Nothobranchius furzeri: one gene and its partner. The protein of the gene in region 2 interacts with the protein of the main gene of each other region in a biochemical or structural test. Links are inferred from orthologs where the notes say so. Each region holds a gene or a part of one and is shown on either strand. Other genes may lie near its edges.

Evidence for each region.
Region 1: the proteins of cacna1ha (region 2) and usp5 form a complex in vitro, tested with the Homo sapiens proteins (2 studies listed by BioGRID, with this or other methods). The link is inferred for Nothobranchius furzeri from reciprocal best matches to the Homo sapiens genes CACNA1H and USP5.

What each region holds. Positions count from the first base shown.
Region 1 is NC_091745.1:74,214,460-74,218,773, reverse strand, and holds the start of usp5 (ubiquitin carboxyl-terminal hydrolase 5), read right to left. Parts: upstream 2,910-4,314; 5' UTR 2,772-2,909; coding exon 2,664-2,771; intron 2,126-2,663; coding exon 1,997-2,125; intron 1,912-1,996; coding exon 1,845-1,911; intron 1,526-1,844; coding exon 1,398-1,525; intron 973-1,397; coding exon 827-972; intron 691-826; coding exon 506-690; intron 382-505; coding exon 287-381; intron 1-286. Other genes in the region: p3h3 (prolyl 3-hydroxylase 3), read left to right, coding at 3,914-4,208. UniProt on the Homo sapiens protein: Deubiquitinating enzyme that participates in a wide range of cellular processes by specifically cleaving isopeptide bonds between ubiquitin and substrate proteins or ubiquitin itself.
Region 2 is NC_091752.1:49,325,304-49,329,627, forward strand, and holds the start of cacna1ha (voltage-dependent T-type calcium channel subunit alpha-1H), read right to left. Parts: upstream 3,059-4,324; 5' UTR 2,509-3,058; intron 676-2,508; 5' UTR 652-675; coding exon 209-651; intron 1-208.

The DNA of each region.
Region 1 (4,314 bases), on a different chromosome or scaffold from region 2:
GAGGACACCAAGTGGTTAAAAGAAAAACTACGAGGCGTGCCTCGACCGGAGCAGAGGAGCAGAGAAAGAAGCGTCAGGTCTGAACTGAGGAGCAGTGGCCGAATTTCGTGAGCGCTTCGCCTCCCGGCGCTTCGGCGACCGGTGTGTCCCCGGCGTCAGGTACCTTTTCTCTCCCTCTACTTCGAACTGTCGTCTCTAGTTTCCCTTCACTCCTGAGAGTAGCGCTCTGCAGCTTCGCAGCGGTGTCGGTTTTTCTAAATAAAATACATTTTAACACAAGTCTCACCTTCTCCATAGTCATCATGTCAATGCCAAAGTGACTTAGGTGCTCCGGTAACTTGGAATCCAGCACCATGTCATCCTCATCATAGGAATACACATCTGGACATAAGAAAACAGGCAGCAGATGAAAACCAGCAGTGGACGGATGAAAACATAAACTCGATCAATTCAGCAAAAAACACCAAAAATACTCAAATTACAGCTTAAAAAGGTTTCTGCTCACCAGCACCATCTGGAGTGATGGTACCAAGTTTGACAGCGAGGGGGTAACCGGTCTCCTGGTAGTGGAGAAGAGCGTGGTTGTTGCCCCCAGAGCCGTCAAAATACCTGCGACCGCAAAGGACTTTCCCATCCGTCAGGTTCATCCACAGATTTTCCTGAAGGTCACAGACTTCACAACGCCAGCCGCTACAAAGAAAAGCAAAACCTTCAGATGCATGGGTTCTAAAATATACATTTCACTTTTTCTTTTCACGTTCTGGATGGTGATCCATCGTCTGATGAAAAGCAACTGAGAACAAGATCCAGACAGCTTTGACTTCACCTGGGAGGGATCTTGAGTCCATTGTCCAGCTGTTTAAGGTCGGCGGCATGCTTCGACTCGTGTCTCACTTCTCCGTCCCACTGCTGGACTTGTAAGGCATGAGACACGGAGTCGGCGGTCATGATACCCGTCATTGACAGAGACACCTAGATTTACACAACAAGACATGTTTATGTTTATTTATTTGGCAGACGCTTTTATCCAAAGCGACTTACAGTTTATAACCTATAGGGCATGTTGTGATCTGTGGGGGAAACCGGAGAACCCGGAGGAAACCCACGCATGCATGGGGAGAACACGCAACTCCACGCAGAAAGGCTGCAGCCGAGTTTCGAACCTGCAACCTTCGTGCTGCGAGGCAACAGTGCTAACCACTGCGCCACCATGCAAGCCATAAATGAGAACTCCTTTATTTAAACTAATTTCTTATTAAAAAATTATTGATAGTGCAGCACAAAATTTAATGTTTTAAGGAATGAATCAGCCAGATTGCAATTAGAGGGATTTGTTTCATTTTATTTAAACATCCCATGATTTTATTTGATACAAAATTAATTTTTTGATGACTCACCCGCTCTCTGACAACATCAGTCATTGTAGCAAGATCCTCTGAAGTCACTTCCTGTCTGTCTGGTAAAATGACCACCTTTACATCCTCCTCATACTGATCTTGTTCAACATCAAAGCCTCCTTCAATCCCTAGGGCAGAAGAAAAACAGCAAAGACAGAAGACATGTAACGATGACCGTAAAATGCCTTCAGTACATTTTACTATTAAAAAATCCCAATGATGAAATTTTAGTGAATTAAAGTGGGACCTATGTTTTGCACAAACAAGAATGATTAAAAAAAACATAAAATATTCTGCATATAAAAGATAAATGACAAAAAGAGGATTGATTGATTTGATATCCAAAAAACTACAAGAAAAACTAAATTTGAGTTTTTTTTTTAAACTATCACAGCAATCACAGGTTTACTTTAAAGCCGATTCAAATAATTTAGCATGACGTCTTACCTATTGCCAGCCTAGTGGGCTTTTTCTTAGGTGGGTGTCCAGAGCCAGAGTTGTTGTCATCTTCCTTCTGTAAGCATAATGATAGAACATGATTTTAAAAATGGAACATTTTTCAAATTTTTTACATTATTCATACGGTTTCAAGGGTCTACCTTGGCCTTACGAGTCCGGGTTATGTGCAGGTAAGCCCTATGGCCAGTCCGAGCATGGTGTCTGTCAACGTACTGACTACCAAAGCCCAGAAAGCTGTTCATGCACACGTACAGGCCTCCATCACTCTCCTGAAAAACAGAAACTAATGTTTACTGTTGCACAACCTCCTAGATCTCTCACCACCTGTCCACAACACAAAAAAGTTGGAACCAATCAGTGCATCTCAGTGACAAAGCATCAGTGGATGTAACCTGGGCAACTTAGTTAGCTTAGTTAGCATTGTAGAACAAGGTAACTAACGTTAATTTATTGATTTCTATGTTCACAAGTATAACACCAAAGGTTTATAGCACTAAGATCATTTTTATGACAACTTCTCCAAAAATTCGGCTATAGTTGTAGCCACATAACATTTGTTATCTTGCTTTCTGGTTTGACAGTTAAACCAGCAGAGATAGCTAAAAGCTACGTTTCCATTACAATGCATTATTAGCTTAGCTTGACGCTAGCTTGCCAGTTAGCTGAGAGAACATGTAGTAAAGCAGTTCGTTAAAGAGGAGTAAAAAAATTGTAGGTCAGACTAAATTTCATGAGACGAATACAATGAGAAAATAGCTCTGCTCTTCCGGTGAGTTATTAGTGTGATTTATAAAAGAAACGGCTCACCGGCGAAGCAAATGACAGGGCGCATTCATCTTTGTGAACACGGTCCCCCGGCTTCGGAACACGAATTGTGGACAAAACCGACATCAAAACCTCACCAACATCCGTCATGGTGAATTATCTAATTGTGTTATTCAATGAGGAGCCTTGTTCTTCTAGGTTTGGCCACCCAGCTTTTAGATTACCCGTCCGTTGTTTAGCCTGCCTGCTACTGTCTGTTTGCCTGAATGAATCATGAGAGGCTGCCTTGTGTTGGAGGAAGGCCGAGCACGAGACCTTTAAGGAAAGCCAAACTTTCATATAACAGTCCTAAAGCCACTTAAATCCATATAGTTTTCTAAAGAAATCTCGTCAAAATAACATTTATATTAACCATAATGCTACCTCAGTCAAAAATACTGCCATGAGTCCTCTTTGGATGTTTAAGATGTTTGACTCAAAAAAATATGATCTAGGTTGTGGAAAAGATAAAACACTGCTTCTGCTCTCAGAAACATGTTGTTAAAAAATAATTTTTAATCTTGATTTTTACAAAAACATGTTACGAATTACCAAATAAGCACGTAAATGGTCACATGTAGTCATCAGGGATTTGAGAGATTTTAATCATCCTAATTGTTCAGTCTCAGTTGAACAGACTTTATTTGACCACAACGTGATTTATCTTAGCTGTCAAACCTTACTTGTAAGAAAACACTTTGACAGACATGCATATTTTGGTATCAAAACAGAAGACAAAATTGTTGTTTGAATATATGCTGCCTCGACCTGCAAACAGTTTCAAACCATTACCGTAATCTACAAAACAAGAGCATCCAGACATATTGTTATTCTAAAAATTCACACTACGTGGACATCTGACAGCACTACACAACTGATTAAAACTTTATACATGCATCAAAAATCCACAAATTGCTAAACTCATTTAATGAATCATCTTATCAGTGGTTAACTATTGCCTTTCGTTCAAGATACCTTATTTGCCGAATTACGGTAATTACGGTTGAACACAAAAACAGCGCCCTCTAGTGGCGGTAAAACACTGCCGCTTTAAAACTACTTCTAACAAGTTTAAATCAGTTTTAAAACTGCACTTTTAGTTAGACTAGAACAATTTTATTTTAAAAAGTTGAAAATCGACACTAAATGTGCGACGAGGTCCTTGATCTGTGATCGTGTCTTTCTGATTTGAGCTCTTCTTCACGTCTCTCTCACTCCTCCTCTTCCTCTGACTCCCGTCTGCTCCTCGGACCATGGCGCTGCACGCGCAACATCTCACTGCATACGTGGCGCGTTATTATCTTATTTTAGCTCTAATAAACATAACCGTGGGTGCGTCGCTTAGCGGCAGCTCTAATGTTTTGTCGCTTTTGCAGCCCTATGATTTTCTGTATTACAGCGGGGTTCGGGCGTATTATGGAGGGGAGTGGGCAAAGGCTGCAGAGCTGCTGGAGAAGTCCATCACCACCAAAGAGACGCTGCTGAAGGTCCGCAGACAGTGTTATGATGACTGTGCAGCATCTGGGACTGCAGCTCTCAGTAAACTAGGTAAGTTATCAGGCTACAGAATGTTATCTCAAAAGATTTTGCATCAGTTAAGTTTAATTTAAACTGTTCACTTTAGTTGGATTATTTTAATGTCCAAACAACATTT
Region 2 (4,324 bases):
AAGATCTCATCAATAACCAATGTAAGCTCAGCCAAAACTACATTTATTACTACCCACTGAGCGAGAAGGTCGAATAAACTGCAACAAAACCAAAGAGAAGCGTCATCTCTAGTGGACAAACCATAGCTGGGTTTTGATGGGTGTGTTGGACGTTAGAATGGACATTTGGCCTCACCAGCTGTCAGAGCACTGGTGTGTAAAAGGATATGGGTTACAGACCATTCGAAGACACCAGTTGCGAGGCCTCGTCGTTTGTTTTAGGCAAAAGAAGACTAGCGGAGCCAGGGCTGGGTACGGCTGCTGCTCCTCCTCGTCGGAGACACAGTCCGGGTCATGAATAGGAGCTGTGATCCGAACTCCTAGCGTGGGTCCAGCGTCCACCTCCAGCTCTGGTTCCTGCTCCACACCTTCCTGAACTTCACCACTCCATTGGTCTCCATCTCTATAGATTCTCTGTCCTTTATTTTCCACCTCCTCCTCCTTCTCCTCCTTCTCCTCATCCTGACATCCTCCTGGGTCAACATCGTGCTGACCTGGGGACTTCTCGCTCCTGTGGGCGGTCCGTACAGAAAGCCTCACGTCGCCTTGCTCCTCCCCTCGCTCTTGGCGCTCTTCGTACTGAAAGCGGACTCTCCCCTCGCCATCAGTCATGATAGAGCATCAGGCAGAGCCACTCTGAGGGGAGGTCAGAGGAAGAGGTGGGTGGTGTAGAGAGAAAGGACATGCAGGTGGGGGGGGGGGGGGGGATCATCAGGAAAGAAGATAAAACCAAGATCAATCAGTTTCTGGCACAAATTCTAACAACTAAATGAATAAATATCTCATGACACAGAGATTTTTCAGGTAGTAGTATAAAATGATGACATCACCGATGCACAAATGACAGCGAGACGACTGTATGGTGACAGTGGTGCCGAATTCATTCTACAGGGACTTTTGGCATTTACAGAGTTTTGGGTTTTTGTAATTTAAAGATCAGCAGGTAAGTTTCAATAACCAAGAACCCCGAGTAAATCTAAAATACATGTTTAAGTCGTGAGCCATCCATCCATCATCATTTGCTTATTGGGGGTCGGCTCACGTGGGCAGTAGCCTAAGCAGTGAGGCCCAGACTCCCCCCAGCTCCTCCGGTGGATTCTAAGGCTTTCCCAGACAAGAAACACAGTCCCTCCATCAGGTCTTGGGTCTTCTTGGTCTCCCGGTTGGATGTGCATGGAAAACCTCACCAGAGAGGCATCCCAGATGACCGAGCTTCTCACCCTATTTCACACCCTCATATCTGCAATCTCATTCTTGTGCATGTTTTAGGAGAACGAAGCAACCTAAAACAACTTGATTCTATGTGAGGGAGAAAACCCGACGTGTAACCTTCATAACTAGCTCTAAAACTCAACAGCAGTCGGGGCTTTGTGCTAACTCTCTTTATGGACTCTCTTTATGTAATCCAGCCACATTGGAGGGTCGCCAGCATGAACGGCCTGTTTAAGGTCAAAGGTCAGACGTGATCCTGTAAAGGATTTTTTAAATAAAGATCAGAATTCACGGTTACACCAATCACAGCGAGTGGTCCATGTCCTTATGCAGCCGTAGACGCCGCCATGTCTGACTTTGGTGTTCTGAGATGTAACGACGCAGCGGTTTTGATCTCATCGGTCCATGGAACATGTCCCAGAAGTTTCGGAGGTTGTGCTAAATGTTTTGGTAGATGGTAGACGGGTCTTTGTGATGCTTCCTTTTTTTTTTTTTTTGCCTCAATTAACAAGAAGGTCGATAACTTTTTAAAATAGAACCATTTGAATAGCTTTTGCTCCTTTACCCTAAAAAAATACGATTTGAAAACTCCATCTAGTATTCACTCGGATTTTCTTCCATTCTGGAATTCTTTTGCTGATCTGAAACATTTAAATGTGACAAAAAAGACAAACTAAATCGAGGCTAAACATGTAGGATGTAGACAGAATGGAGCTTTTCCCATGCCTTCCTGTCTCTTCCTGTTGCTATGTGATGGAACAGATGGACCACTCTGTCTCTGGTCTACTGAAGGTCTTTAGCCCACACTATTCCACGGTGGGCACGCAGCGTAAATGCGCCAAAAATAGGGAGGGGGGCTTTTACGCCTCGCTAATCCTGATTATTATAATAAACGGAAAGACATGGAGAAGGACAAATACATTTGTCATGATAATCCAGCAAAAGCAGACGTCACTCTTGATTTTTTTTTTGTTATTTTTATTCTCTTTGTCCATCATGAAAAGCGCATCTGATGTTTGCGCGCTCCCAATAAGAGATTTCATTTAATGCAAGACATTTCACGCATTTTCACATGATTGGATGTTTAAATAACTTATTTTTAAAGGAAAATGAGACGAAAGGAAAGAAAAGCGCAGGAGGTAACTGAGCGCTCGTTGCCTTCTCATAGTGCTTTTTTGTTGTAAAAAGTAGATTATTAGATATTATATGCACACTAATATAATGTGCAAACTGAAAGAACTTATTTGTTTTAAATACCTTATTGAGGCGGAATCGGGAGTTCCCATAAGCATGATCCGTGACTTTCCGTCGTTCCTCAGCGGCGCGGCACGGCGCGGACCTTCCCTTTTCCTCTCTTTCCGCAAATTCAATTTTTTTCTTTTTGTTTGTGATCAGAAACAATCCTTAAGATCCGCAGGAATCACCGGAAGAAGTCGAGGAAGTGTCTTGGAGTGGTGTTGATCTGCGCTTCAATTAAAAGACGGGGACGTGATCTATCCACGCATCCATCTGCCCGTCCATCCTCGCCGAGGAGTTAGTTGCGCAGCGTGGAGCGGGTGGGGTGGGCTGGCGCGCGCGCGAGCGGGTATGTGTGAGTGGGTGGGTGCGCTGGAGCTCTGTGGAAGATCTGACACCAATAGGAACTTGGCCCAGGACCTGAGAGCCCTCACACGTGACCTGGTGTCCGGAGAGGAGCGATGTTCACCAGGGAGACGCACGCACACGCGCGCTCAGGCGCGCACGAGGAAAATGAAGAATTGAGCAAATGGAGAGCGCACATTAGCACTAAATGCATTTATTAGACAAAATCCTGCAATTAATAATAATAATAATAATAATAATAATAATTGTCCACGTGGGCTGTTTTTCAAACCTTGAATTTGTATCTAAAAAATCTCGTTATTTCAGGGTTTTTGGGGGAAATCCAAATGCATTTTTGCAAAACTGTTATTTTAACTCCAAGCAGTGGCTTTAGTAACTATATTATTCTGCTACGTCACACAAATGATTGACAACACAATTCCTCCATCATTCCAGCTTTCAGAGAGGCAAGGCACACCCAGACAGGTGACATATAGACATTTATGCACACTCACACCTAAAGTCAGCTTAAATCCTTCATTACCAACAGGCGTGTGTTTGAAAAACATGATTACAAGGAGGAAACTCATTTAGAGGACATGCAACCCCTCTCAGAAAGGCTCCAGAGGAGGGCGTTCTTGTTGTGAGACATAAAGGATTAGATCAGTCGCTGCTTTTCATGCCAGGATTTAAAAAATAACATAATTTTAGGAAGATTATATGTGTGTGGTGAGGAAACCAAAATTATCTCAACACCTGCACATGCTCATTTCAATAAGCTGTTGAATTCATCTACTCTGGTTGACTTCGAAGAGTTACAGATGTACGTCTGATGATCAATAAATTCTCACTAAAATATTTCCAGTGGGGTGTTTTACAGGGACAGATGCACTCAAACAGACAAAACTGTTATAATCCACATTTTACAGGTTATAGAAACCCGTTCTGATTAGAGGTGCACCGATTGCAGTTTTTGACAGATCACTGGTCTTTTCACCGATTTTTGCCAATACCGATTTTGTCTTAACCTCCTGAAACCTGAACCCGAATTTGATGTGATTTAAAAGAAAAAAATATATCTAACTATTACAGAGTAGTCTACTCTCATTAACGGAAACAAATCTACAAATATCAAAATTTAATTAAAATTTTATTAAATAAAAAATTTGTCAAATTTCCTGTAAAAAAAGAAAGAAAACAAAACATTTTAAATCAGTTTCAATGTCATGTGTCTATAAATAATAACAAAAAGGTCTGAGGTGGAGATGATAACATTTTAAAAGTCAAGGAGCCAATGTCCACATATGTGGACACAGGGTCCGAGGTTAACTAAATAAACATGATATTAATCTTTCAATTTCCTTTTCCTGAGAAAACCAATATGAAAGCTCACGAAACAACACCAGTTTCAACTGGACATTAGGTAATGTTCTCAAATACAAACAAACACGTTCAGCACTGCTGTTTGAACTACAAAATCGTATTTGTTCCT